4 linked regions of the Elephas maximus indicus genome follow. The protein of the gene in region 4 purifies or fractionates together with the protein of the main gene of each other region. This does not show direct contact. Links are inferred from orthologs where the notes say so. Each region holds a gene or a part of one and is shown on either strand. Other genes may lie near its edges. The genes, in order: SF3B2, EBNA1BP2, POP1 and LIN28A.

Region 1 (7,528 bases), on a different chromosome or scaffold from region 4:
ACCTGTCTGACACCACTCTGCTTCCTGTGGTCCTCAATCGGCCTACAGCCTAACCCCACACACCTGTCTAACACAACTCTGCTTCCTGTGGTCCTCATCCGGCCTACAGCCTAACCCCACACACCTGTCTGACACAACTCTGCTTCCTGTGGTCCTCATCCGGCCTACAGCCTAACCCCGCACACCTGTCTGACACCACTCTGCTTCCTGTGGTCCTCAATCGGCCTACAGCCTAACCCCACACACCTGTCTAACACAACTCTGCTTCCTGTGGTCCTCATCCGGCCTACAGCCTAACCCCACACACCTGTCTGACACCACTCTGCCTCCTGTGGTCCTCAATCGGCCTACAGCCTAACCCCACACACCTGTCTGACACCACTCTGCTTCCTGTGGTCCTTATCCAGCCTACAGCCTAACCCCACACACCTGTCTGACACCACTCTGCCTCCTGTGGTCCTCAATCGGCCTACAGCCTAACCCCACACACCTGTCTGACACCACTCTGCTTCCTGTGGTCCTTATCCAGCCTACAGCCTAACCCCACACACCTGTCTGACACCACTCTGCCTCCTGTGGTCCTCATCCGGCCTACAGCCTTACCCCACACACCTGTCTGACACCACTCTGCTTCCTGTGGTCCTTATCCGGCCTACAGCCTAACCCCACACACCTGTCTGACACCACTCTGCTTCCTGTGGTCCTCATCCGGCCTACAGCCTAACCCCACACACCTGTCTGACACCACTCTGCTTCCTGTGGTCCTCATCCGGCCTACAGCCTAACCCCATTCCTCTGTCTAACACAACTCTGCTTCCTGTGGTCCTCATCCGGCCTACAGCCTAGGTTCTAAGCATTGATCCAGACCTTCCCAGAAGCCTCAGCCCTACGATCCAGCTCCCTCTAGAGCTCCACTCCCCTTTCAGGGGCCTGATTCGGCCTAGCCGCAGGCTCTCCCCTGCCCTACCTGCTTGGCACGTTCCTCCTGCTGCATCAGCAATGCTGCCTGCTGCTGTGCCAGCTTCAGCCGTTCCTCCTCAGACAGCGCCACAGGCTCACCCACACGGAGGGGAGGAGGGGGCCCCAAGTTTGGTGGGTGGGGTCCGCCTGCCATAGGAAAGCCAAGGCCAAGGCCTGGTGGAGGTGGTGGGGGTGGTGGAGGAGGTTGTAGAGGGGGGAGTCCCATGGGTGGCGGTGGCATGGGAATCCCGGAGAGCTGCGAAGAAAGTATGAGTGTAAACTAGGAAGCACTTATCTATTTATCCTACAGATATTTGCTGGGTGCTGGGATTCAAAGTCAAATAACATATTATTCTTTCTTTTTTCCCTCCTTAACACACAAGGAAGGAACCCTGGTGGCACAATGCTTAAAGTGCTCGGCTGCTAACCCACCAACTATTCCATAGGAAAAAAATATGGCAGTCTACATCTGTAAAGATTATAGCTCAGGAAACCCAACAGGGCAGTTTTATTCTGTTCTATAGGGTCGCTATAAGTTGGAGCCCACTTGACAGCAGTGAGTTTGGTTTGGTTTTGGGTTAACACACAATGAGCCCTGGTGGTGCAACAGTTAAGCACGTGGCTGCTAATGCAAAGGTTGGTGATTCAAACGCCCCAGTGGCTCTGCAAGAGAAAGACCTGGCAATCTGTTCCCGTAAGGATTACAGGCTGAAAACCCTACAGGACAGTTCTACTCTGTCACATGGGGTCAGTAAGAGTCAAAAACTGACTTGAAGGCATCTAACGACAGCAACTTTAACACGTGATTCTTGAATACAGGAAGAGGACGGCCCAGATATTAACCAAGAAAAGAAAATGTTAACTTTGGAGCATCGACAGAGAAAAACTATCAACTCTCTCTCCAAAAAAACGAATTTTGCATACAATTTCAGGAGCTTCAGGAACACGTCTGAAAGCCATCTAGGGACTCATCACCCCATCCATTGAGGTCAATGGAGCCCAGGTTGGCCACTGCTGGATCAGAAGGCACATGGAAATTGAGAGGTGAGTCTTGAATGTCAAATAGAATTTGGAGGAGCAAATGTTGGAGAAGGAGGCAGGTATCAGGACCAAGAGAGAACTGAAGGGCTCCCACTTCTGTCCACGGAGTACCTCCCTGCCCACCCTGCTAACTGCATTCCCAGTGCACTGCACATGAGAAGATGTGCCTATCCTGGGTAGAAGAGACCTTATAAAGTAGAACAACTTCCTCACCTGTGCTGACATGGGAGGGGGAGCAGCTTTGTCCCCATCATCTCTTCTGAGAACCGGCCGATTCAGCACCATGCCAGTCTGCAAAAAAAGAACGAACAACTCTAGACCAGGTCAAGAAGCACTGATCCAATAAACGACGTTCCCTCTCATTCATTCAACAAAGCTTACCCAGTGCCCGTCTGCAGGAGCTTGGAGCTCGGGCACTGGGGAGGGCCACTATGCATAAAGCTATGACAACAGAACAGGTAAAGTCAAGAACAAGCAAGAGCATGCAAAAAAGTGCAAGACCTTGCTGTGCCGGGAGCACTAAGAATGAAGACCGAGCCGTGATGTCTTGAAGGCTGCCTTGAGAAGCCTGGTCTATCCTGACGTCCCTCCGCTGGCACTTACCTGGCGGGTGTAGGTCTGCAGCCGCTCCACCAGCTCCTCGCGACTCCCTGCGTGGCAAACACAGAGTCAGTGATCAATGCTGGGTCGGAGTGGGCTAGGTCCGGCCGACCCGGCCAGGGCGGGCCCTATTAGCCCGCCTCCGCCCCCTGCCCCCGAGTCTCCGAGGTAACAAGGCTCCGCTTCTCTGCAGGCCCATGTAGTCCCCTCTTGACCTTCCGCGCTCCTCACCCTGGATCGGCGCTCCAATCTCTGCCAACTTAGCCTGAAGCTCCTGGGCAGCCCAGGCACCATAGTGCCCTGGGGGTGGCGGCGGCGGCAGCTGTAGCTCCCCTTTGGGAGGCTCGGGATGCTCGGTCGCCATCTTAGCCGCAGGAAGGCGCGCGACCAACCCGGATGCCAGGGCCAGCTCCGGGCCCACTTCCCGGAACTTCCGGGGACGACGTCCAGCAGCCCGCCCGCGGATTGGAGGGCTGTTCGGCTAGAGGGCCACCCCGGACCAACGGCCGGGAAACGTGATTCGCCAACAGACGCGCCCTTTATCCAGTGGTCCGCAGATGGCCTGGTCGCGAAGCCTTCTGGGAGTTGTAGTACGCAGCTGACGGTCACTGCGGGTCCAGCGCCAGGAATACAGTGCCCATTACAGCTCCGGGAAACCCTACGGGCGGACGTTGCTGCGGCCAAAGCTGTCTAGTTGGAAGGACGCTTTCTGCGTCTCGCCTGCCCGAGCGCGGACTATCAGCCTTCCGGCCCGACTCCCTGAATAGGCGTGAGAGCCGGGACGCTCGTGTTTCCAGGGACGCCCGAGAGGCCCTTTCCCCCGGTGGCCGAACGTTGCGGGCGCCAAGCGGGAGGCTGGAGCCGATGCCTGTGATAAAACAGTGTCTGATTGTCTGCCCGCCCGCCCCCGGCCCAGACATGGATGAATGGGCTGTAAGGGGATCGGAGCCGGGAGAGGAGCGGGCCCGCCCGGGCTGAGCTCCAACTCCCGACCTGGGGGAAGGGCAACACTAAAGCCCCATTTCCACCTTCCGGGCCGGCTCAAGTGTCTCCTCCGTTAAGCCTTCTCCCGCTTTCCTATTCTTGGAGCTCTCATAACACGTTCAAACCTCTACTGTTTGTTTTTTGCCCTTCTCTCCACACTCACCTCCATCCCCAAGAACGTGAGCAGGTACCTGGTCATTTTGCTGTCTGGCATGCGGCATCTGGGATCCAAGAAGCACTCAATAAAGATGAGTGCAAAAGAGTAAATGAAGCAATCTTAATGGTGGCAAGATTTACATCTTCCTTAGTCTAAACTGGAAACCCTGGTGGCTTAGTGGTTAAGTGCTACAGCTGCTAACCAAAAAAGGTTGGTAGTTCAAATCCACCAGGCGCTCCTTGGAAGCTCTATGGGGCAGTTCTACTCTGTCCTATAGAGTCGCTATGAGTTGGAATCAACTCGAGGGCAGCGGCTTTGGTTTTGGTTGTAGTCCAAACTCAGGACCTCTGCTTCTCTGAGCCCCTCCAGCCCAGTGGCAGGCGACCCCGTTCTCCTCCACCCCCCCCCCACCCCACCCAACCCCCAGGGCCTGCCAGGGGCATGGACAGGTGCTTTTACCTGTCTGGCTACCGCGCGTCTCCCTCCTCCCATCAATCTCTCCTTCCCACATCTGCCACTAGTTCTGAGGTCCCTCTCCCATCCTGACTGCCAGGCTCACTGCGTGCGTGTGTGTGTGTGTGTGTGTGTGTGTGTTTAGTTGGGGGGCACTCAGGTAAAATGGTCTTATTTACTACCCCCACCTAGGGGCGGATTATCCAATAGGCAAGGTAAGCACACATTTTTTCATCACATCAAAGACTCTGCTTCTAGGTATGGCTGGCATCTGTCGCTCTCCCAATCCCACAGCACCTTCCTACAAAATCAAAGCCTCTTTTCAAAGTTACAATCCTTGACAACCAGATGACCTAGTAAACAAGGTAAGCACAGGCTTACTTGTGCTTACTAATCTGTAGTGAACAATTTCACATGGGTTTCACATCTTTGAAACTTCAAATGATCTGGTAATCTGCCTGTTGGATAACCCACCCCTGTCCCCACCACACACACACTGCCTTCAGATCTTCTCTCTGTCTGGCTCCATTTCACCAACTGCCCCCAACAGCAAAGTAGCTGGGAACAGAGAAAGAATGCGGCCCCAGGTCTAGGGGAGGTGAGGTCTAGGAAAAATAGGGAATAGGACTGAGCCAGGAAGTTCCTTTCACTCCTGCCCAAACCCCTTCCATCATGACCACCATCCCAGTTGCCAGCTGCCACTCCCAGAAAGACAGCATAGAAGAAAGAACAGTGGTGCCCTCCCCTCCAGCTCGTCAGCCCACTCAGGCAGAACCACTTTGGACCCAAAGGAAGACTCTTTCTGCTTCTGAAACCTGAGAGCCCCAGCAGGTCATCTGAGGCTGGAGGCCCTCAGGTGCCCCAACCTGCTGGGGGAGGGGTCACTGTCTGAGCAGTCTAGGGTAAAGACTGACTGGTGAGGAGGCAATGTAGCCAGGGCCAGAAAGGGACACACCAAGCAGGGCCTCATTTCAGCACAACAGCCCTGGGAGGCAGGCGGGGTAGGACTACCCGCTCCCTCCCCCTGGCTCCATTGTGCAAAAGGGAAGCTTGATGGGCAGAGAGAAGCTGACAGGCCCAAAGGGCTGAACTGCGACCACAAGCAGCTCTCCTGATGCTGAAAGTCCCCATTCCCTTCTGCTCCTCAACACCCACCAATTACCTGAGTTGGCTTGGAATGGGGGTATCCAGCCCAATTAGTCCCAGCTTTGATTGGCTGCCCCAGCACCCCTGCCACGCCAGCCCACAGGAAAGGAGAAAGCAGGGGTCCCTCCCAGAACAGAATGAAGGGCTCTTGACAACTGGCCTGGTTTGGGGGAGGTACTGCTGCCCAACTCCCAGGTGGCAGGAGCTAAGAACTAAGAATCCAGTTGCCATTGAGTCAATTCCCAGTCATGGTGACCTCATGTATGTCAGAGTAGAACTGTGCTCCATTGAGTTCTCGATGACTGATTTTTCTTAAGTAGAAGAACACGACTTTCTTCCCAGGCACCTCCGGGAGGACTCAAACCTCCAACCTTCTGATTAAGAGCTGAGTGCTAACCATTTGCACTGCCCAGGGACTCCAAGGACTAAGGAGGCAGTGGAAAATTCAGGACTACCCCCCTACACACACTGGGGTGTACACAGAGCCTTCGCCTGTATTATCTCTACAGCCCCAGAAAAGCTCCAGGAAACAGGGCCGTTGTTCCCATTTTAGAGCTGGAGCTGGAAGCCATGGGCTCAGGGCATTGCCTCTTAACTCGGAGATTCAGTGACAAACCAGGATGGAATTCGGTCCTCTGATTCCTGATGCACAGTACCCAGTCGGGGGTCCAGGTCCCACTAAAGCTTTGGTAAGGAGTCCTGGTGGGGAGTAGGAGTGGGTGAGGGACGGGGGCAGGACCCGGGGAGTGTGGACCGCAGGTTGGAAGGAAGGAGTCTCTGGGTGTGAGGGCAGATGGATCCAGACCAGGGGTTGGAGCTGCGCTTCTTGCGCAGGTGGAAAGGAGAAGGAGAGGGAGAGGGAGCACGTGGGTGCCCGTAAACGCATCTCTCTGTGCGTCTAACTCCACGAGGGGGGCCCGGCTACACTGGAGTATTCAGACACCTTCCTGGCCTCAGTTTTCCCTTCAGTTCAGCTAGGGAAGAGGGCTGGCCGCGTTGGTGTCCAGCCCCTGCGAGGCTGCCGGGTGAAGATGCCCACACCCCAAGACGCTCCGGGGAGAGAGTTCCCCTGCAACGCCGGTAGCGCCGCCAGCTCCGCCAGGCCGCCCCCTCCCCTTCGAGCCCCTCCCCCTCTCCTGCTCCCGGCCCCCGCCCCGCCTCCGGTGTGCGATGGGGGGCGGGCGGCGGGCAAAGCAGAGCCGAGTGGAGCCGAGCGGCCGCCGCCACCTGATCCCATCGAGGCGCCGCGCGGCGAGCGGTCGGCATTTGGCGCGCAGGGCCCCGGCCACCTAGGACTCGCGCAGAGCTCAGGACCAGAGGCGGGTGGGTAGCGGTGACCACGCCGCAGCAGCCCGGCTGGAGGCAGAGCCCGCGCGGCGTGAGTACTGCAGTGGTTGCCCGGGGCTAGGGGACGACGGTGGGCGGAGTGTCTGGGGGCCTAGAGCCTGGGCGCTGGAGGAGGGGCGCGCTGCCCTGTGGGGAACGGGAGAGGACGGGGCAGAGGGCGACGCTGGCCTGTGCCTCAGGGTGACCTGCGCCTGGTGACCGGAGCCCTGGGAGAGGTTGGGAGGAAATCGAGGGAATGGTGGGGGTGGGTAGTGATGGAGAGAGAAGGATGTAGGAAATTGGGAGACAGGGATGTGGAGGTGGATGACAGGGAGAGGGGGCTGGGGACCTGGCGCAGGCTAGGAGAAGAAAAGGAGGAGAGGGAGATGGAAGGATATCTGATCTCCCGGGGTCATTAATTTGCAACCCTCTACGTCCTTTAGCCCCTTCCTCCCTAGTGCCCAGGTCAGTTTCCCCACTCACCCGTCTGTGCCATCCCTCAAGTCAGGATGGGGTCCCCAGGTCACCCAGCAGTCAGGTTTGGATGGTCCCAGCCAGCCCCCTCCTCCCCTAAGTGCATCAACAGCAGCCCTGGAGCTGGAAGGGGAGAGGGGAGAAAAGGCACGCTTGGGATGGGTGGGCAGCCGGGCCACTTTTCCAAGCTCTGGCTCTGTGCCATTTCTTCCTTAGTTCCCTGGAGAAAGGAAAGCAATTTGCCAAAGCGGGCAGCAGCCCAAGGTAGATTGTTCTTACTAAAATTAGCACAGATATTCTGATGAGGCTGGGCATTCCAACTTGTCTGGGATTATTGGGGGAACCTCTCTGTCCCTTCATGGAGCAGACACAGGGGTCTGTAGCTTA
Region 2 (7,294 bases), about 18 Mb from region 4:
ACACACACTTCACTGTGAGATGATAAATACATGATCTAAAACACATAGGGCATGGAACCAAATCAGACCATGGCAATCTGATCTGACAAACACACCCACCTCCTCCTGTTCCCTGCATACTTTCCTCCTTACCTTCTTTCCGTATTTCCTAAGTGCTCTCAGTTGCTTAGCCTTTTCAGACTTCTCCATGGCAGCCTGTTTAGTCTGCAGCTTCAGTCGAATCTAAAACGTAGAATGCTGTCAGCTTATCTTGTGTGAATCTGAGATAGCTGCTACTTAGGGAAACCAGAGCAAGGAACAAATATTCCCAGCTCCAGAAACAGTAGAGGTCAAAGAAACTTTGTAAGTCATCTATTCTAACCTCATATTTTATATATGAGGATGACAAGGCCCAAAGTGTCACAAAAGCACTTTGTCCCAGGTACTAAAAATTTCTGTGGTAGAGCCAGAACTTGAAAGCAACCTTCCTACTCCCAGACTGTTATTAGTTCTATTACACAAAACTGCCACCTTGAGGTCCTGGAAAGACCTACTTCTCCTCATGCCCACTGTCCACAGACTGAAGTTAAACCAGTGTGCAGTCTCACAGTTTCCTTCTCCCATATACCACACACAGTGAAAACGCAAACAGATGTCAGGTACATGGCTTCTTCCCACAAACACACACGTTTCAGTTAAATGATGAGAAGTTAGTTGTCAGTGTGCATGTACAGAAATGTGTCTCGGTTCATCTCTAGATTAGCTTTCCTGGGTACCACCAAGACAAGTGCTCCCTAAAAACCAGCTTGAGACCCAAGGGGGCTAGTTAAACAGATCTCCAATTAAAGGTCGGCAATTTTCTTCCTCCCAAAGTTAAATTAGTAACAAATTCTACTTAACTTTAAATTATATTATGTCTGAGATAACCAGACTTTTAGAGATTAACCCTCATTTTACAGAAGAGTTAACTGAGGCCCAGAGAGAAGTAACCTGTCTTCAAGTTATAGCACTGCTCACTGGCAACAGAAGGCCAAGAACAGTTATCCTTTCTACACACCATGCCATGACCATGCTGACTATGGAATACAAAAGGCTGGCTTTACCTCAGGAAATCACATTTCTTAGTGTACTCCCCCCTTAATTGCTTAAATTAGGGAAAAAATCATCCCTACATTCCGCTAATTGGTGGTGATGGCATGAGTCTAAAGCAGACAATCTCCAGAAGAGATAGTAATTGTCCCCTAAAAACCAATTCCCCATTATTGGGCTTATAGCTATCATCTTTAAACATTATAAACCCGTCAAGTCGATTCCGACTCATAGTGAGCCTACAGGACAGAGGAGAACTGCCCTACAGGGTTTCCAAGGCTGTAAATCTTTACGGAAGCAGACTGCCACATCTTTCTCCCATGGAGCAGCTGGTGGGTTCAAACTGCCAACCTTCCAGTTTACAGCCACTGCACCACCAGAGCTCCTATAATAGGATATAAAGGCAGCTAAATACACGAAGTACGAAGCCCTTGGCTTTCCAGAGAAAATTTTCCTTTTTTTTTTTTTTACCTTCTGCATCTGCTGATCTGACTTGGCCATTTCTGCAAAATAATCGGTGGGCCGCTTGGTAGGGACTTTAAGCTGATGCAGGCGGGGTAACACTGCAAGCACTGCAGCCTGGGCCTGGCGGTAGCTGAGAATGTAAGACAAAGTGTGAAATGAGCTGAGGGAGACGCCTTATACTTCTTCTCACCACCTCTCATAATCCAAGATCACAGGACTCTCAATATCTGACCTCGCCAGCAAGGACAAATAGAAACTAATAAAACCTCATAAATTTGGGATCTTGGAGAAATTTAGCTGCACACCATTTTTTTAAAAGGCAGCGTGTTGCTAAAAAATAAATTAGCAATTCAAGAGAATGGTCACTCGAAACCAATGTCGATTATAAATTTTTATATAGTCACTAACATCTACATAAGAACCTTTCATAAGCAATTTTTTGTTACAAAAGCTGAATGCACAAAGAAATTTTAGCTCACTACTTCTCCCCCAATCTCTGACACGGGGACACCCCGCCCCCCCCAACTTTTCCCACATTGGAAAACAAACATACAAGCTCATCTCCCGCTGGAAGTCATCTTCTGGGTCAACAGCTTTCTGATCCTTCTTCTGAAGACTTGACTGAGGTCCACTAACTTCTGGCACCGGACCCAGGGTCACATCGAGCCTTTCAACCCATTCCAGATCCCGTTTGAATTCGGCCAAACACTGCTTCAGGCCAGTCTAGGAAATCCAGACGCTGGGCTCAAAAGAAGGGTACCCTGAGATTGTCTCTCAAAAGCCCAAGCCCAAAGGCTAGGCCGACGGACAAAACGCTAACCCCTCACTACCTGCATGTCATTTACCCCCGTGGCAATGTGCAGTGCACGTTCTTTCCGTGGAGCAAGAACTCAGTCTCCCACCTACAGCCGTGCCTCGTGCACATTCCATCTCGGGGTACCCCTCGATCCAGCGACCCAGCTCACCACGTCGTTAGCGGCCTTCTTCGGCCCCTCTAGCACGACATTGAGGCCTGGTTTCAGGAGCCCTCGGGAAAACGCATCCTGCAACTGTGGAACACAATTGGCAGTCGGGACCAGTGAAGTAAGAGCCGCTATCTCGTGCCCAGCCCCGCGAGCTTGGCTGACACCTACCTCTCTGTCTGTGATAAGGGAGTCGTCATCAGAATCCGAATCCGAACCCGACACCGGGGGAGTGTCCATCTCGCAGCACGCACGCCCAAACACCTACCGGAAGAAGTGGTGTACCCTGAGGCCCGCTTGGCTGGAAAAAAGTGGCTATCGCCCCTGCTGCCTCCTTTCAGTCCCCACTTTCACTCGGTGGCTCCACGTGGACTTCAAACGCAACAGCACCAGCCACTCGCGGCTCCAGCTAAACTTTTTGATGAGGACTTCCGCTTCCGGCCGCAAGCCGACACTTCCGGTTTGTCGTTGCTATAGAAACTACTCCGGCTTTTGGAAGTGTCCGAGTTGCTTCGGATCTGTAGAGGTAGTACATGCGTGGTCTGGGGACCCAGAAAATAGAAGCGAAAGGTGGGAAGGGAGTCTGAGGTCGTCCGGAGGAGCTGGAAGCCTCGAGAGAGCAATGGAAAGGGGAGGAGTCACGCGGCGTTGGGGGGAAAGCGAAGGAGGACCCCAGGGACGGGGGCGGGGCCGTGGGTGGGTGGGTGGGTCCTGGGGGCGGGGCCGTGGGCGGGACGGGATGGGGCTCTCAAGCGGCTTTCGGTCTTCAGCAGCAGCTTGTCGCTGACCATGTCCGCCGTGGTAGCTCAGGCGCTTCATGTTTTTGGTCTTCGAGCCAACGTAGCCAACAATATCGTCTACTTTGATGAACAGACTATTATATTCCCCTCAGGAAATCACTGTGTGAAGTACAATTTGGATCAGAAATGGCAAAAATTCATTCCAGGTAAACCCTTTTACATTCTGACACATAAATTAACTTTATGTGCTGAATATAACTCCATAAGCGCAACGCAAAGATTTGAAAAGAACGTTTTTTGGCTAATTGGAGTTTTTTTTTCAGGAATATAGAAGAAATGTCTATTGTATAGGTTAATCACACATAACCTGTATGTCTAGTCGATTCCGGCTCATAGCGACCCTATAGGACAAAGAACTGCCCCTTAAGGTTTCCAAGACTGTAATCTTTACTAAAGCAGACTGATGGCCACATCTTTCTCCTGGGGAGTGGCTGATGAGTTCAAACCACCGACCTAGGTGCTTAGTCATTGGGCCACTAGGGCTCTAATCACACATATGTAGTTAAGATCATGTATAAAATAATGTTAAAGTACTTTTTTTACTTTAGTTTCATGAAAAAGTTATTTTAAAGAACCTCTTTTTATGCATCTTCAAATCTTTGTCATCATCAGAGCCACGTTTTGAGTTGTCTACTGCGGGAGAGAAGATCTGGCAGTCTGCTTCTGTAAAAATTTCAGCCTAGGAACCCCTATAGGGCAGTTCTGCTCTGTCCTATAGGGTCACTATGAGTTGGAATCAACTGGATGGCACACAACAACACTGTTTCCCAGGGTACACCACCTTCATTTCTCTAAATTGTTTGAGATACAGCTTCTTTTGAATCCATGCATTATGAAAGACACTGGAAATTTTATCCAAAGTCACCAGAAACCATTTGTATAACTTTACAACATTTGTTTTTGTTCACACTGGTCCAGGTCCTATTGATGATATTCATGATTTCCACAACTTAATCACCTATCTCTTTCTCCCCTCTTTGTCGCATTAAAAACAAATTATTGTGAAATATGCCAACGAAAGAGTGTTCACTGTGTATACATAATATTTTAAGAAGTATAATAAAATGAAGATGTAAGTGTTCATCACCCAAGGTAGGAAATAGTACATTACCAGATACTGAATTTTCTTGCATACATTTTTTGTATTTTATATATAATCATATGAATTTTTAATATTAAACCAATCATTGTTTTATACAGGTAACATTTGTTTATGTTTGCCCAAATACTTACCAATCTCTTTGCCCACCACTCAGTTTTAAAAATCACAATCCGCTCCAGATGGGATCATTTCCTCCTGCCTGAAGTACAGCCTTTATCATTTCATTTAGTGATAATCCATTGGTGATAAACTCTCAGTTTTCGTCTGAAAATGATTATATTTCATCCGCTTTCTTGAAAGATAGCTTTGCTGAGGATAGAATTTTTGTCAGCACGTTATGAATCTTGTTCCATTGTTATTTGGTCTCTGCTTTGTTGGTGTCTTAAGAAATGAACCATCACAGTCTTCTTTTTGTTGATCTTTTGGTTTTGTTTTTTTCTGAGTACTTTTAAGATCTTCTCTGTCTCTATCTTTATTATGTATGTGTCTTTTCTTTTTTTATCCTGCCAGTGATCCTTTGGGATTCTTGAATCTGAGAATAGGTATCTTTGAATGATTCTAGAAAATTTTTATCAGTTGTCACTTTGAATATAGTATCTTTTTCATTCTTTCTACTAACTCGTTCTGGAGCTCTAGACCATCTCAATGCCATCCTCCATGTCTGTTAACTCACATTTTTATTTTTCATTTCCTAGTCTCCGTATGGAAACCCTGGTGGTGTAATGGTTAAGTGCTATGGCTGCGAGCCAAAGGGTCGCCAGTTCGAATCCACCAGGCGCTCCTTGAAAACTCTGTGGGGCAGTTCTACTCTGTCCTGTAGGGTCGCTATGAGTTGGAATCAACTCGACGGCACTGGGTTTGGTTTTGGGGTTTAGTCTCCGTATATTGCATTCTAGATAGTTTCTTTAGGCTTACCTTTTAGTTCATTGATTCTTTTCTCAGCTGTTACTGTTTAATGTACCTATTAAGTTTTTAAATTTTAATTACCTGTTTTATTTCATATCCATATACTCATACTTTTCTGGTCTGCATCCCTTTTATTCTGCTCCTGACCCCATTCCATACCACTATGGGGCTCAAACAGGAAGCCTGCATGTTCAGGCTCTACCCATACCTTCTATAAAAAACCACCTTTGGCCATTCCTCAGGCCCAGGTCAAAGGCCAAAGACAGAATGCAGGTCTTGTCATCAGACCTCAGGACCATGTGGCGGGGGGAATTCCAGAGTCCCAGGTACCTGGAGCATGATCTAGAAGAGGTGATGCAAACTTGAGTGGCCTGGACATTCCATCTCATGGAAATGTTACAGCTAGAGGATGACCACAATGGGGCACTCTAAAATATGGGGTCCAAGGAAGGAGCCCTGCAGGCCAAGTATAAGGGTATTGCTAGCAGGGTAGAAAGTATAAAGGTCATTAAATCAGGAGATCTGGATTTGAATATGGCTCTTAATTTATTACCTCACAGAGTCTGAGTTTTCTCTTCTGTAAAATGGAGATGATGCTCAGCTTGCTCAACTTACAGTCTTTATGAGAATCTAATTCATTTGTTTACTCCATGGAAGTTTATTAAGCACCTACTCTGGGTGGCACAAACAGTTAATGTGCTCTGCTGCTAACCAAAAGGTTGAAGGTTTAAGTCCATCCTGAGGCACCTTGGAAGAAAGACCTAAAGATCTACTTCTGAAAATCAGGCATTGAAAACCCTATGGAGCACAGTTCTACTCTGACACGCATGGGGTTGCCATGAGTCAGAGTCAACTATAGCAACCGGTCCTGGTGTGCGAGGCACAGAATAGACACACACACAAAACCCTGCCCTCGTGGTGTGTTCATTCTAGTGGAGGAAAACAAGAAAAAAAGATAAAGTATGTAACAATATATAATGTATTAGATAGTGATAGATGCTAATGAGAAAAAATGAAGCATGAAATGAGGAACTATTGGGGAAAGAGTGAAATTTTAGATAGGTTAGCTGGGGAGGGCTTATTGGGTACCATATTTTTACACATATGAGGCTCATGTTATTCCTTTTTTTTTTGCCAACAGCACCTCCCCCCAGGTATTTTTGTAAGCATGCTACGCTAATTTTTTACAGCAACATGTTAAAAAATTAGCATAGCGCACCTACGAAAATGGGGGAGGGGCAGTAGGCAGAAAAACATAATCCATGTGAGTTATTTGCATAAAAATACAGTAAGATATGTTTAAACTAAGACTGAAGAAAGTAAAAGAGCTTGCCATGCTGATATGGGTGAGGGCAGGTTGTGTAGCAAAGAGAATAACAAAAGCTCTGAGTTAGGAGGGTGCTTAGTGTGTTGGGAGAATAGCAAAGAGGCCAGTGTGGCTGGAGTGGAGTGTACAGCGTTGTGGGGAGCAAGAGGTGAGGCAGGGAAATAATGGGAAGCAATGTATCACATAGGGTTTGTAGGTCATATGCTCCTAACTGTGAGATGAGAAGCCATGGGAAGATTCTGAGCAAAGTAGTATCATCCGACTTATGTTCTAACAGGTTCATTCTGGCTGCCAGACAGAGAGTAGACTTAAGGAGGGAAAAGAGAAGGAACAGGCAGACCAGTTCTGAAAATGTTACAATAATCCAGGCGAGAGAAGATGATAGCTTAGAGTGAGGTGGTGCCAGGCAATTGGGATGGTGAGAAGAGGTCACATCCTGAATTATTTAGTTTTGAAGTAGAGGGGACATTTCTTCATAGAAATTTCCTGCATGTGGGGTGGAAGAGAAAAAGAAGAACTAAGGTGTTTGGCCTGAACAAATGGAAGAATGGAGTTACTCTTAATTGAGATAGAAAAGGCTGCTGGAGAACCAAGTTCTGTGGAGAAAATCAGGAGCTTAGTTTTGGACATGTCAAGATTGAGATGCCTACTAGATATTCAAATG
Region 3 (7,616 bases), on a different chromosome or scaffold from region 4:
TAACCATTTGCAATACCCTGAGGTATTGCTATCCAATCATTACTCCAACTAAGAACATCCACACAAACTTCCAAAATGCCACATCAGGGTCTATGCCACTTCCACTGAGAGCCACTGAATTAACTATCACCCATTTTATTCACTTATAAAAACCTCATGAAAAATTAAAAGCAGCCAGCCTGTGTGGGTGTCGTGTTTAAGAGCTTTGGCTGTAGAGTTACAAACACGTTCCTTAACTTTTTAGTTGTGTAATCCTTAGGAAAATTGCTTTCCCTTTTTCAGCCTCAGTCTCCTCTATAAATGGGATTAATCACAAAGTTGCTGTGATAATTAAACAAGGCAATGTACATAACACACTTAGCATGGGGCTTTGCACAAAGTGCTCAATATATGAGCTATTATTCTTAAATAATAAATGAAATAACAGATTCATTATCATTTCACTTTTTTACTCCATTTGACTTTCATCTAAATGAAAGACAAATAAACCTACATTTAAAAACATTGTTCAAATTAAGCAAGATTTATAAAGCAGTTGAAGCCCTGGTGGCACTGTGGTTAAGCACTTGGCTGCTAAGCAAAAGGTCAGCTGTTAGAACTCAACAGCCATTCCAAGGGAGAAAGATGTGGCAGTTTGCTTCATAAAGATTACAGCCTTGGAAACTCTATAGGGCAGTTCTACTGTGCCCTATAGGGTTGCTATGAGTCGGAAACCACTCGAAGGCAACAGGTCTATAAAGCAGTTGGAGTTCTGCAAAGTCACTTGGCTAGTGAAGCACAAGATTCCTATCAGTGTTCATTAAGAACCATTCAAAATAAGGTTAGATAGGAACCTTAGGGGACAGTGAGTTTCTTAATGGAGGAGGAACAACTCAGAAAATGAGGGTGAGAATGGTTGCACAACTTGAAGAATATAATCCATGTCACCGAATTGTACATGTAGAAATGGTTAAATTGGTTTCTTTTTGCTGTGTATATTCTCAACACCAATAACAAAATTAAAAAAAGAAAAATTCGAAGTAATTTTATGAAACAATTTAGTTCATCAACTGTTACCTGCTTGAATCAGAGCTTACCCAGCAGAGTATCGCCAAGACAGAACACCACCCTGGGAGCCCTGACTCTGCTCAGACTAGAATGGGTTGGGGACAGGCTGGGACCAGGGGCTTGGGATAAGCTTGGAAAGTCACATCTCTGAGCTTTAGGTTCCAAACTAAAAAATTAGTGGATTGAACTAGCAGTAGTCCTCAAACAGTTCTAACGGCAGGAGAGAATGAATGCAAAGTCTGAGGATTTAGCCTAAAACTGTTTCCAGAAGGATCTTAACTCTTACCGTAAACATTCAAATTTTACACCTTACCTTAACAGTCATAGTTTGCATTTGTTTTCATACTCATTCACTATTCTCTATACACAAAAACAGCAAAAGAATAAGACGATGTATAACAGTATACTAAATTTTGCAGTATAAAAACCCACTGCCATCAAGTCGATTCCGACTCATAGCGACCCTACAGGACAGAGTAGAACTGCCCCATAGAGTTTCCAAGGAGCGCCTGGTGGATTTGAACTGCCGACCTCTTGGTTAGCAGCGGTAGCATTTAACCACTATGCCACCAGAGTTTCCAATATAAAATTCTGTTGCCATTCAAAGCGACCCTGTAGGACAGAGTAGAACTGCCCCATACGGTTTCTAAGGAGCAGCTGGTGGATTTGAAATGCCGCCCTTTTGCTTAGCAGCCAAGTTCTTAACCACTGCACCACCAGGGCTCCATACACATATAGCACAATGCAAAACTGGATAAAGGAAAGAAAAAGCATGAGTCAGCAGGAAAAATCAAAGAGAAAATAGGATTTCAGTTAGTTGGAATTTGGATAGATAGGGAAAAGTATCCAGGAATCTACTGTGTCAATTCAGGAGGACACTGGCCTGACTAAAATGGGGAGACAGAAGGCTGTATAGGCAAGGAGCCGAAACTGGAAGGGTATTTTTTTTATTCCACACCAAAGTCCCGAGCCAATGAAAACAGTCTGAGGAAGCAAGAAAGCGAAAATTTTAGCAGTAGGTAGGACAAAATGACAGGAAATGAAGAGGTTTTTCTTACGCTATGTTTAAAAAAAAAAAAAAAATTTTTTTTTTTTTTTTTATGTTGAGGAAGCAGGAGAGGACCAGGATCTTTTTCTCTATGGTATCCCCAGCACCTAACAGACTGCCTTGCACCAAGTAGGCGCTCAATATATATTTGTCAAATGAATGCACGCAAGCATAAATGAATGAGTGTGGCATACCTATAACGCATACAGTATTAACAAGATAAGACGTATGTATGCCAAGTACCACCCTTTGTGAAACCAGCACGACTGAATGTCTGCCCAGTGACCAGCTCTGGGACCATCGGTTGGATCAGGATCATTATCTTCCTTTTTGAAATGAGATCCCAAGTCCTAGGGCTCTGGTCAGGTCTAAGGGAAACGTGCAGAGACCTTGTAAAGCTTGAGGAGCACTCAGGAGAGGAAAAGGGGACCCGGGAGGGGCGGGAAGGAGACCAACGCCCAGATCTCAGGGTAGTCCCCTGGAGGCCCACTTTATTCCTTTACGGCGACAAAAGAGGAGGTGTAAGCTCATTCCTAGGGGCGGTGTGGAAAAATGGTAAACGCTGGGTCCCTAGGGTAAGGCCCGATGGAGGGGCGGGGCGGAGAAGAGAGGCCCGGGTGCGGGCAACAAGGAGGGAAAGGCGGCCAGTGCGATTGGAGGGAGAGAGGATGGGTAGCTGGGCCCGGGCGGTAGAGCATGCTTCCCCCAATCCCGGGGACCTGCAGGCACCAAGCCCTCAGGACCTACCTGCCAGATGCTCTGAGAGAGGAACCCTGGGCTCCCCGGGTCAGAACGTCAAGGCTCAGCGACAGAGCCCTCCGTAGCAACTAGCACTGCAAGGGGGCTGGAGGGCGCATGCGTCTGTCCGGCCGCTTCCTACACGTGGCCTGGAGGCAAGCCGGGACTACAACTCCCAGAATGCCGAGCGAAGCCTTGGGACCGAGCCTTTAACCCGAGCTGGTTAGTTTGGTGAGAAGTGCGTGGGGTGTCCTTTTTGCAGGGACTGCTGGACAAAAGGGCTAGCCATGTCGTCCTTGATTCGAAAGGTGATCAGCACGGCGAAAGCCCCAGCGGCCATTGGTCCCTACAGGTAACGTGACATGTGGGGGCGCGGGCGGATCCGGGGAGTGCGAGCTGCGGGGGGACTACGGGCTGGGGTCACTCCGGGTCAGAACCCGAGCGGGCCTTGGGATTCATCGGGGCAAACGCCATCTAACACGCGAGGAAACAGCTCGGGAAGCGGGCACAGCCAGCTGGGAGCAGCGGCGGGACTCGGAGCCTGTGCTTCCAGGGACTTCGTCCTAGCCTCGGGCTGTCTCGCGCCGGAGCTCAGCCTGCTTGGTGCCAGACTCCCCCTCTGGAAGTAGTCTAACCCTAATTTGTTTCTTTTTATTGATTTATTTTTAACCGCTTTATCGAAATATAATTATCATGGTATAAAATTCACCTGTTTCAAGTCTACAATTCAGTGATTTTTACTGTGTTCACAAAATTGTGCAACCGTCAGCACTATCCAATTCCAGAACATTCTCATTACCCCAAAAAAGGAACTCCATATTCATTAGCAGTCACTCCTCCTCCCTCCTTCCCCAGCCTCTGGCAACCACTTACCCACTTTGTCTCTATGGATTTGCCTACTCTGAACATCTCTTATAAATGGATGTCTTAGTTATCTAGTGCTGTTATAACAGAAATACCACAAGCAGATGGGTTTAACAAATTTATTCTCTCACAGTCTAGGAGGCTAGAAGTCTGAATTCAGGGTGCCAGCTCCAGGGGAAGACTTTCTTTCTCTGTCAGCTCTGGAGGAAGGTCCTTGTCAGCCTTCCCCTGGTCTAGGAGCTTCTCAGTGCAGGGACCCAGGGCCCAAAGGACATGCTCCCCTCCTGGTCCTTCTTTGTGGTGTGAGGTCTCACCCCTGCCTGCTCCATCCCTCTTTTATATCTGAGAAGAGTTTGACTGAAAATACAGCCTAATCTGGTACTTAGTGTCTTGTCTCACTAACGTTATTGAGGTTAGAATTTATAACACATAGGAAGGTCACATCAGATCACAAAATGGAGGACAACCACACAATACTGGGAATCATGGCCTAACCAAGTTGACACATTTTGAGGGGACACAATTCATTCCGTAACAATGGAATCATACAATATGTAGCCTTTTGTGAATGACTTCTTTCACATAACATACAGCATTTGATCTGAGCCCTGGTGGCACAGTGATTAAAACACTTGGCTGCAAAGATTCTGCAGTTGGAACCCACCAGCTACTCCACAGGAGAAAGATGTGGCAGTCTGCTTCCATAAAGATAGAAGTGTCTTTTGATTTTAAGGAGTGAGTCCCATCCATAACAAATGTGGGTGTCTTTTCTGGAGAGAGCTGAGTTATTTTCACAACAGTGTTTAGCAAATAGAAATCCCTGTATATCTACGTAAGTCATCTTGTTGTGTGCCCACCAGTCGATTCTGACTCGTAGTGACCCCATAGGACAGAGTAGAACTGTCCCGTAGGGTTTCCTAGGCTGTAATTTTTACAGGATAAGATCGCCAGGTCCTTTCTCCTCCTGAGCCCGCTGTGGGTTCCAACTGCCAACCTTTAGGTCAGCAGCCCAGCGCTTAACCATTGCACCACCAGGGCTCCTCACGTATGTCTTAGAACTCACTTTTTACAGCGTGTCTAGAATTGCATTATGATGCTTATGAATTCATTGCTTGTGCTCATTTCCCACAACAAAGATCATTATGTGTACTAAATATATGTATTTGTGTATAGCTAAATATATGTATACTGGCCAGAAAGTCTAGCTTGTGTGCATTTATTTCCACTTGTCAGAAGTGCTGTTGAATGAGAGGAAATAAAGAGGTTTTTCTTTTACTGTATTCTTTGGAAGCGATAGAGGACATGGGTCTTGACTTTTTCTCTGGTATCCACACCGCCCAGCAGAGTGCCTTGCATGAAGTTGCTGCTCAATATATATTTGTTGAATGAATGTATACGTGCATAAATGAATGAGTCTGGCATGGCTATAATGCATATATTTAACAAGATAAGATTTATGCCAAGTATTTACTTTCTGACACAGCCTTGCCTATCCTTTGGATTTCCCTTATCAACTACGGTACCTGACACATAGTAAGTGCTTAGTAAAAACTGTATTCAATCACTATTATCCAGTTGAAATGCTGCTAATTTTCAGTATTTTATGTTGAAGAGTAAACCACTCCCCAACCAACTAGTTATATCATGATAAAATTGAATGAACATTTTTAAGAACCATTTGGAAACAAGAGACCTGTTTAGCTGCTATGTGCATGGAGTTTGTAGTGAGTGCATTTTTTAAATAATCCTGGGTCCTGTCCAGGAAAAAATTCAAATGTGTTGAACTTTGAGTCCTGGGCATTGGGATGCATGAGGTGCTGTCACTAATTAACTAATGAACTGAGCACATTTCAGCAAGACTGCAGGTCAGAACCTTGAGAGATTTCAACATCACTTCACTATTGCATTGCTAACGTAGCACCTGATTATAAATTTTTGAAGTGATAGGCCCTGTGATGTAGATTATGACATGTGATAATTACTAGGATGATTCGAAAGTGGTGTTACCACCCTTTGTCTTGTGTAGAACAATGCACTTTTCACTTTTCTGGAGCCTCACAACTTGTCTATGGATAGTAGGACTCTTATGCTCAGGAAATACCAATTTGCCAACTGTCCAATTACTCTTTTTTTTTTTTTAATTATATAGCAAAAAAATTGCCAGTTTAACCATTTTTGAGTGTATAATTCAATAATATTAATTATATTCATGTTGTGCAACATCACCGTTTCCAAAAGTTTTCATCATCCCAAACAGAAGCTCAGTACTCCTTAAACAGTAACTCCTATTCCCCTAAGCCCTGGTAACCATTAATAATCTTCTGTCTCTATGCATTTGAGTATTCCACATACTTCACATAATGCAGTCATACAATATTTGCCCTTTTGTGTCTGGCTTATTTCACTTAGCGTGATGTTTTCGAGTCGCCTGTTTTGTTTACCCATTCATGTGTTGATGGACACTTGGGTTGTGTCTGCCTTTGGCCATTGTGAATAAGGCTGCAGTGAACACTGGCATATCAAATTCTGCGTACTTTGTCCAGCACATCTATTTACTAATCTGTAAGATAAGACTTCGCATAGCTCAGGTAGCCTCAGAGTTCTAGTACTTACTTTTAATATTCTGAGAATAAATGAGTCCCTTTTTATTTTAATAAAGTTTCAAATTATAATGCTTATGGACTTGAACTGTGTTGCAAACATGGGAAGACTTGAAGGTGCTTTGCAAAGGTCATAAACAGACTACTGGTTCTCCACAGGACACTTCAAAGAAACAGTGTTAGCTGATGTTACCATTCAGCCTGAGAAAAACTTAGAAACCAAGTTCAGCAGTTACCTATTTGTGGGCCAGGGTGGGAGGGTGAAGTAGTTGAGAAGAGTTTAAATGTATCTGCTTCAGCTCTCCAGAGCCCACACTATAAGCTAAAAAAAAAACAAACCAAACCCCTTGCCATCCAGTCCATTGCAACTCATTGTGACCCGATAGGACAGGATAGAACTGCCCCATAGGGTTTCCAAGGAGCGGCTGGTGGATTCAAACTGCCACGTTTTGGTTAACAGTCAAACACTTAGCCCCTGCACCACCAGGGCCCCATACACTAAAAGGTCTTGTTATTGACAATCCAAAATAAAACATCAACAGGTAGTTACTGTGTGCCCCCTATGTGCAAGGAATCACCTAGGCCCTACACAGATGCAAAGACATAGTAAGATACTGTGCTGCCCTCAAGGAGCTTAGTCTAAAATAGGGTAAGAACCCAAAACCCATTGCCAGCAAGTTGATTTTGACTCATAGTGACCCTATAGGACAGAGTAGAACTGCTGCATAGGTTTCCAAGACTGTCACCTTTACGGGAGCAGACTGCCACATCTTTATCCCATGAAGCAGCTGGTGGGTTCAAATCGCCGACGTTTTGGTTAGCTGCTGGGCCACCAGGGCTCCTAGAATAAGAACCACTGGACCACCAGGGCTCCCTAGAATAAGAACAGGACTAGCTATAACATAAGGCCAGATGCTGTACATAGTTATCATTTTCATAAAAAAGGTTCAACCAGAGGCCTTCTGGGACTCAGGAAAGAAAGGCTTAGTTACTTAGGGAAAATGAGATGTGTGTGTGTATAATGTGTTCCATTGTAGTTTTGTTTATAATAGCAAATTATTGGAAACAACAGGGACAGATACATTAAAGTACATCCCTACAATGCATCCCCTAAAAATGAGGCCCCATACTACATGCAGCATGGAAAGAGCTCCCTGATATACTGTTAAGTGAAAAAAGTGAAATGTAGAAGAGTGTTTAATATTCCATATTTTGTGTAAAAGGGAAGAATATACACTCATCTTGATTCCCATGTGCGTGAAGAAACTGGAAGCATCTGTGAATGAGACCAGTGGTTGTCTGGGGGCTGGGAACTGAGC
Region 4 (7,444 bases):
GGAACTCTTTCCCACAAACACAAACAAAAATTCTTCCGTCTTTGTCTTCTACATTAAATTCCCAGAGATATTCAAACTTCTCAAGTGCAGGGATTGGAACCACTAGTGTAGCATACTACTAGGTGGGGTTTTAGGAATTACCCAAGACCCAGCCAGCAGCATGCATTGATAAAGACAGAGCTATCAGGTAAGGCTCAGTGAATTTCTATCAGTTATTGTCCTCTTTGACTGAAGGGGAGGTGGGTTAAGAAGAGAAGTTCTTGATTTTTTTCTTCCCAGTTCTGCTCCCTCCTGATAAATTATTCAACTCCTTTTCCAGAGACAGGCGTGGGCACCTGGACATCTCAGGACCTAAAGACCAGAGTATCTTCCTGCTAACCCATCTGAAACAGCACGGAAGGGGCTCCACTCCGCAAGTCTCACAGCCATCCCTCCTTACCTTCACGAGTGATGCCATCCAATACTTTTCCAATTGCATTTGATCCCAAAGGTTAAGTGGGCTAAAGTGTGGATCCCAACCTTCCTTGGAATTTGGATATCACTACAGAACCCCAGAAGATGAAGGGATATGTTGCCCTCAGCCCCTCCCTAAATAGTTAGTAGTCTTTTGAGGGGAGATAAGAAAACATTGGGTCTGACTCTTATTCCAGCCTCCCCAAACTGGGGAAGCTGTCCAGTCGTCTCCAGACCAGAAGAGATTTTAATCTCTTTGTGATCAGATAAAGGGGAGAGTGGGGGAGGCTTGGCACCCTGCTGAGGAGGGCCATTCAAAGCTGGTTCCTGCAATAAAGTGATTTAATAGATCTAAAGAGGCCAAGTCCCTTCTTTCTCCCACAATTACTTCCTGTGGGTTATCATTCACATATGTAAATGAGACAGGAGGGGGACAAATCCACCAGCTTGAAAATGGTTGTCTGATGGGGTGGGGGGTGTTGCTGCAAAGATGTAGTTAAGGCTTCAGGCAGGTGTTCGAGTTGCCCAATGACCCAGGGATTCAACTTTAACGGGCAGGTCGCCATCTCCTAGGACTCTCCCCCTTCATCTCACCCTCAACCTCCTTCAAGGTGAGGGCCCTGCTAGAAGACTTCTCCACCACCTCCAACCAGTCCACCCAGCATCTCCCTTCCCTGCCCCTCCCCCTCCAGACTACCAACCCTCAGGCTCCAACTCTTAATCCCTACATCCTCCTTTCCCCTCCCCCACAGCTCCTGGGGCCAACCTCCCTGCAGTAACCCCTCCCTGCCCGGCCTGGGTGTCAACCTCCAGAGCCAGGGACTAGAAATCTCTTCTTCCCAGGTCCAGCCCCAAACCTCCTAAGGTGGAAGAGGCCCATGCAGCCAACTTGCTTTACATGGTTGGTATGAGTGGCTGGTATCCCGGGACCACGGAAACACTTCTAGCATATTCAGGGAAGGGGTGAGAGGAAGAACAGGCCCGGGAGGAGAGCGACCTGAAGTCTCAGACTCCTTGTTTGAGGCCGGGAATGTTAGGACAGTAATCAATGTCTGTCTGGGGCCATAAATGCCAGGCCGAGGAGAATAGGTTCAGAGGCCAGCCTTACTCCACCCCCTGCCCTGTGACACTGAATTTCACCCCCACTATGCTTCCTTGCTTTAACTGAGAACTTGGGATTGCCACCTAACTTCCTCCCAGCCTGGCCCAGGAATCTAAGGCCTAGATGCCTTAGGTTTTTCTTCCGGATATTCACTGGACAGCAAAGGCCCCCTTCTCTGAACTGTGCGCCTTAGACGTTCCTGCAGAGGAGCTTTCAAGGCCCCAGATGGATCCTTCAAGGATCCGCCAAACCCACCAGGCCTCAGGGCCTGAGTTTGAGCCACCACCTGGCTGAGGTCTGTATTAAACACGCCGGCTGGGCCTGGGAGCCAGTTTCCCTCCCTCTCTCCCGCCCTCCCAGCTCTTTTCAGAGGTTAGTGAAAGGCGCTGGGCGCTCAGCGCCTGCCCGGCCCCGGCATGTGCTTTCCTGGTCGGCCGCTCGCCCTCCCCCCACCGGCAAGCACAATACAACCTTAGTTTCTGCCACATGGGGTCACCTCCCTGCCCTCTGCCCTCTTCCCAGGGGAAAGAGGTAACAGACACGTGGTGAGCCTGAGGGGTTCCCGGAAGGGGGTGGGGAGGTGCTGATAACCGGCGCTGCCCCCCAATCCTTCCCCATCGGAGTAAACGGGGACCCAGAATCGGGGTGCCACGGCAAAGATGGGTACACACAATGAGGGGCTTCAATCTTAATCCAACAGCCAAGTCCTTCGCCCACCCCGGAATATGAGCACCTATACCCCCTCCCGCTCCCGACAAAGTTACGGAATGAGTCTCACCTGGTGCACAAAGACGTCCACCGGGGGGTCGAGCGCGACCCCGGCGCGGGCGGTCATGGACAGGAAGCCGAACCCCATGCGCACGTTGAACCACTTACAGATGCCGGCACCATGCAGCAGCTGCGGTTCCTCTACCGCCCGGGCCGCATCCTCCGGCGCCTCTTCCGCCGCCTTGGCGCAGCCACCTGGAGATGGAGAGGGAACCGGGGGCTTAGTTGGGGGGCCACGCATTCAGAGGGCCCTCGCAGAGACGGGACAGGGAGATCCGAGCGTCTCGCGGGTGGACACTAGGAGCCTGCACCCACCAGGCAGCCCGCGAGAAGAGACCTGTCCCGGCCGCCTCCCGCGCTCCCAAAGCCTACACCGAGACCAGTGGTGCCCCGAAAGTTTTGCTCCTCTTCCCACTACACGTTGCCCGCGGACAGAGAGCCGGACAGGCCCTTCCTATTCCCCCCCTGCCCCGTAGCCTCGGAGCACACGCCGGTGGGACACCAGGGTTCCTTGCTCCAGAAACGGTCCCCTGAAGCAGGAGGCCGCACCGACTTGGGGTCCTACGGGCAGCCTGGGAAGATACTTCCCCACTTTCCTTTTACGTGGCTCCTGGGCGCCCCGCAACCTAAGGTGTCGCCCCTAAGTTCCGAGCTCGAACCTGCAAACTGTTGGTTGGACACGGAGCCCATGTTCGTCGGCTGAGCCCGCGGGCCGGGCCCCTGGTCGGGCGGCTGCTGGCCCCAGAGAAGTCCGGAGGCAAAGGGGTGGCTCGAAGAAGAGGCAGCTACATCTTCCCCGGCACAATAGCGGTGGGAGGGCCCACGGTTTTTCAAAGGCTCCCAAATTCTAAAAGACAATGACCCAACCCCCCGCGGGCAGCCCCCTCCCCTCCCCTCTCTCTCTCTCTTTTCCCCTCCCTTTCCCTCCGGCTCCAGCTCCGGCCCTCCCCCCACAGCTCCGATCTCTGACACCTCTGGGGTGTCCCTTCTCAGAACCTTGAGGTTTGACACCCCCCTCCTCACACGCTCGACTGGAGATGGGGACCTTCTGCCGTAGAAGTCTTGGTACCCCGGAATTTGGGGTCCTGCACTTTAAGGGCACAATGGGGGTCCCCAAAGCAGCATACAGGTGGGGGGTTGGGGGGGTAGTTTTAAGACCACGTGACTGCTCCCACACACACTCACACACCACCCCCACCCCCCGCGCAGATAATTATACATTCCAGAGAGTTGGGGGAGGGAGGTGTGAGCCTGGCGGTGCTGGCCAATCAGAGACACAAACCACCTGTCAAGGGAGAAATGGATGAGCCCTCCCCCTCCCCCAGCCCCTGAGCGCTCCTCCCCCTCCGTTCCCCCTCAGGCCTTTGAGCTGACCCGGCTGCTTGGCGCTGACCTGCTCTCACCCCCCACCCCCGTGTGCTTAGATAGACCTGGAGTTCGGGACACTAGGAAACCTGGGTAGGAGAGCAGTGAGAGGCTAGAGACTGGGCAGAGCCTATCTTCAGTCCTGACTGAGGCGCTACCTCTGAAAACTCTTGTCTGTAGCCTCTGACTATATTGAAGGTCTCTGCCTCTGAGTTTCCAACTGAGATTTTTTCTGGATCTCTCTCGATTAGAAGAGAGAAAGTGCTCCCATTGATTCTATGTAAAGAATCCTTCATTCGAATCTGTCTAAAGTTAGCCCCAGGTAGAGCTCCCTGGGAGAGTAGCAGGACCCCGAAGAGGCTTTAAAATGTGCTCCCCTCTCCTCCATCTGCCTTCTCATTCTGTCCCCACCCCCACCCCACTCATTGCTTAGAGAGGGACTGGGTGGGGAGGTGGGTGGAAGGTCTTCCTCCTGTACTCCCGACACTCTTAGGTTCCCAGACTCTTAGGTCCCTGAGTCACCGTCCTAAAGTGCGCTCCCTTCCCCATAGAGGGGTTGATGGGGAACTGAAGTCGGGAGTCTCCTAATTTGAAGGGGCAACCTGCCCTTCCAGGAAAAAAAGAGGGTCAGTCAGGGGGGTGGTTACTGCCCTGGTCGGAGATGGACAATGGCCCGGGGCTCAGTGCACGGCCCTGGCCCTGCCCCTTCACTTCCGGTGCTCAGTTCAAACTGGACAATGCCAGCTCCGGCCAGTTCCCCTCCCCCACTGCTACAACCAGTTTAAAGGGACAGAGCCTGCTTTCGGGGCATCCGCTTGCTCTGAAATCACTCTTCTTCTCCAACTGTGAGGAATCTCTCATGCTTCTCAATTTGCTCCCGTCAGTGTGTGTGCGCGCGCCTGCGAGCACGCACGCATGGATTTGAGAGAGAGGATGAGTAGGGGTGGGAAAGAAGAAAATGGGGAGGAAAAGCAGGGGATGTAGAGATTATTTCCCTCTCTTTTGCACAAGGAGTGCTCTCCAAAGACTAAACCTTGAATGTAAGAGATGGGGGATGGAACTTTGGGAGATTAAAAAAAAAAAAAAAAAAAGACTGGCCCATTGCGGTTCTGCTTAAAGAAATACATATAATTAGCAAATATTATTATTTTTTATTATCAATGTCCCACTTCTGAGGACCCTAATTTAGATCTACCGAGAGTTCTCTGAGTACTTCAGCCAGTCATTTTTATTTACATAATCCTCCCTATCTAAGAATCTTGTCCCCTTCGTTAGAAGCGCCCTTAAATATATTCACTTCCAAAAATTCAGAAACAGACGACAGAGATCTGGCTGAAGAAGGGAGAGTTCAGCACTCTGGCATAGCTTGATTCATTCTCTAGGGCTGTTTTCCCCCGGCAGGCTCTATCAGCTTCTCTGTCCAGGGTGCTGAGGGTGCCGGGTGTTCTGTCCATGGTGCTGAACCAAGACATCGCGCTCCAGGCTCAGGGCTCCTAGCTCCCTCCAGCTTTTAAAATGCCTTCTTGAGTTTCCACCTCCAAGTCCTTCCCAGAAAACCCTGACTCTCCTCAAACCCCAAGAGACAACGACACACTTGAAATTAATGAAGAGGTTTTTTTAGACACTGTTAAGGGCGCTTCCAGCAATAGATATTCTGTGAGAGCAGTTCGGGTATTTCAAGCATCCCTTCAGAGAAACGGGTAGAACTACTCATGTGGTCATGGAGAGTGAGGAAAGAGGAGATAATATTTTCTGAGTCAGAGAAAACCAGAGTAGAATAGAGATTAATCTGTGCTTTAAAATTATTTCCTTAATTATTAGCACTTTTCATAAGCACACAGATGTGAGTCAGATTGCCTATGTTTGAATATCAGCTCCACTATTTACAGTTTAAGGAGCCCTGGTGGTGCAGTGGTTAAAACGCTCGGCAGCTAACCAAAGGGTCAGTGGTTTGATCCCACCAGCCCCTCACAGGAGAAAGATGTGGCAGTCTACTTCCGTAAAGTTTAGAACTTTGGAAACCCTATAGGGCAGTTCTACTCTGTCCTAAAGGGTCGCTACGAGTCAGAATCAACTCAGCGGCAATGAGTTATGGGTAACCTGGGGCAAAAGAGCCCTGGTGGTACAATGGTTAGGCATTCAGGTGCTAACCATTTAAAAACACCTGTCACTCTGTGGGAGAGAAAACTTGGCAATCTGCTCCCTTAAAGATTACAGCCTAGGAAACCTACGGGGCAGTTCTACCCTGTCATATAGGTTCTCTGTAAGTCAGAATCAACTCACACAACAACCTGCAGCAAGTTCCTCAACCTCTTAGTGCCTCAGTTTCCTTCTCTGAGGAATGAAAATACCTGGCTCTCAGAGATATTGTGAGAATAAAGTTAGATCATATATGTAAAGCTTTTAGAATAGTGCCTCGTACATAGTGTGATAGTTAATGGTATGTGTTAACTTGGCCATGATTGTAATTATCCCCCATTTTGTGATCTGATGTAATTATCCTCCATTATGTGATATTATGTAATTATCCTCCATTTTATGTGATGTAAATTCTAATATCTATATGTTAATGAGGCAGGATTAGTGTAGGGTGTATCATGAGTCACACTACTACAAGAGAGTGTGACTCAAGTCGCACCCTTACTGAAGTCACACCCTTACTCAACTCATGCCCTTACTCAAGTAGCTGATGAGAGGAAGTTTCCTTGGGGATACGACCAGTATGCAATATATATGGATGCTCTGGCAAAGCTCTCTCTTGCTCTGTATCCTGCATCCAGCTAATCATCACCTGACCTCCAGCTCTCAGAACTTGAGCCAGCAACTTGCCATCTGACCTGCCATCTTTGGGATTTGCCGGCTTCCATAGCCCTGTGAACCAGCAGTCTGCTATCTGACCTGCTTATTTTGGGTTCTTCAGCCCGGCAGCAAGTGAGTCAGGAGATGCCTCCAGCCTCATGCCTGACCCGGATTTGGGAATTGCCAGTCTTCACAACAGGTTGAACAATTTCCTTGAGATAAATCTCTTTATATATACATAAATGAAACCCTGGTGGTGCAATCAACAGTTAAGAGCTCAGCTGCTAACCAAGAGGTCAGCAGTTTGAATCCACCAGCTGATCCTTGGAAACCCCATGAGACAGTTCTACTCTGTCCTACAGGGTTGCTATGAGTCAGAATTAACTCGATGGCAATGGGTTTATGTGTATATATATATATATGGAAACCCTGGCAGCGTAGTAGTTAAATGCTATGGCTGCTAACTAACAGGTAGGCAATCCAAATCTGCCAGGCACTCCTTGGAAACTCTATGGGGCAGTTCTACTCTGTCCTATAGAGTCACTATGAGCCAGAATCAACTCGATGGCAGTGACTTGTTTTTGTGCGTGTGTGTGTGTGTATATATATATGTGTCTGTGTATATGTGTATATATATATATATATAAAATACATACATATATATATATATATATATATACACACTTCTCTGGTTTTGCTTTTCTAAAGAACCTAGCCTAGGACACATAGTTAGCTCTTAATCTTGTAAGTTTTTACTGTTATTATAGCTAGCTATTATGCACTTGCTTGTCTCTATGCCTTAGCACCCACTCAATCACATGCTCCTTGAGGACTGAATCATTCATATGTTATTCAGTTCTGTATCTTCCCTACATCATTCTCAGTACCTAGCATGGTGCTTGGTTCATAGAAGACACCCAAGAAGTTTCTTGAATTGGCTTTAACTGAAGTCGTGAA

The links.
Region 1: the proteins of LIN28A (region 4) and SF3B2 purify together in Homo sapiens (affinity purification with mass spectrometry; 3 studies listed by BioGRID and IntAct, with this or other methods). This does not show direct contact. The link is inferred for Elephas maximus indicus from reciprocal best matches to the Homo sapiens genes LIN28A and SF3B2.
Region 2: the proteins of LIN28A (region 4) and EBNA1BP2 purify together in Homo sapiens (affinity purification with mass spectrometry; 3 studies listed by BioGRID and IntAct, with this or other methods). This does not show direct contact. The link is inferred for Elephas maximus indicus from reciprocal best matches to the Homo sapiens genes LIN28A and EBNA1BP2.
Region 3: the proteins of LIN28A (region 4) and POP1 purify together in Homo sapiens (affinity purification with mass spectrometry; 3 studies listed by BioGRID and IntAct, with this or other methods). This does not show direct contact. The link is inferred for Elephas maximus indicus from reciprocal best matches to the Homo sapiens genes LIN28A and POP1.

Annotation. Positions count from the first base shown.
Region 1 is NC_064825.1:129,193,196-129,200,723, reverse strand, and holds the start of SF3B2 (splicing factor 3B subunit 2), read right to left. Parts: upstream 3,014-7,528; 5' UTR 2,966-3,013; coding exon 2,833-2,965; intron 2,652-2,832; coding exon 2,605-2,651; intron 2,293-2,604; coding exon 2,215-2,292; intron 1,217-2,214; coding exon 968-1,216; intron 1-967. UniProt on the Homo sapiens protein: Component of the 17S U2 SnRNP complex of the spliceosome, a large ribonucleoprotein complex that removes introns from transcribed pre-mRNAs.
Region 2 is NC_064821.1:85,317,941-85,325,234, forward strand, and holds the start of EBNA1BP2 (probable rRNA-processing protein EBP2), read right to left. Parts: upstream 3,013-7,294; 5' UTR 2,736-3,012; coding exon 2,667-2,735; intron 2,583-2,666; coding exon 2,499-2,582; intron 2,257-2,498; coding exon 2,087-2,256; intron 1,664-2,086; coding exon 1,540-1,663; intron 223-1,539; coding exon 133-222; intron 1-132. Other genes in the region: CFAP57 (cilia- and flagella-associated protein 57), read left to right, coding at 3,285-3,441. UniProt on the Homo sapiens protein: Required for the processing of the 27S pre-rRNA.
Region 3 is NC_064833.1:43,864,978-43,872,593, forward strand, and holds the start of POP1 (ribonucleases P/MRP protein subunit POP1), read right to left. Parts: upstream 3,011-7,616; 5' UTR 2,843-3,010; intron 1-2,842. Other genes in the region: RIDA (2-iminobutanoate/2-iminopropanoate deaminase), read left to right, coding at 3,121-3,185. UniProt on the Homo sapiens protein: Component of ribonuclease P, a ribonucleoprotein complex that generates mature tRNA molecules by cleaving their 5'-ends. Also a component of the MRP ribonuclease complex, which cleaves pre-rRNA sequences.
Region 4 is NC_064821.1:66,882,627-66,890,070, reverse strand, and holds the start of LIN28A (protein lin-28 homolog A), read right to left. Parts: upstream 3,014-7,444; coding exon 2,983-3,013; intron 2,519-2,982; coding exon 2,334-2,518; intron 1-2,333. UniProt on the Homo sapiens protein: RNA-binding protein that inhibits processing of pre-let-7 miRNAs and regulates translation of mRNAs that control developmental timing, pluripotency and metabolism.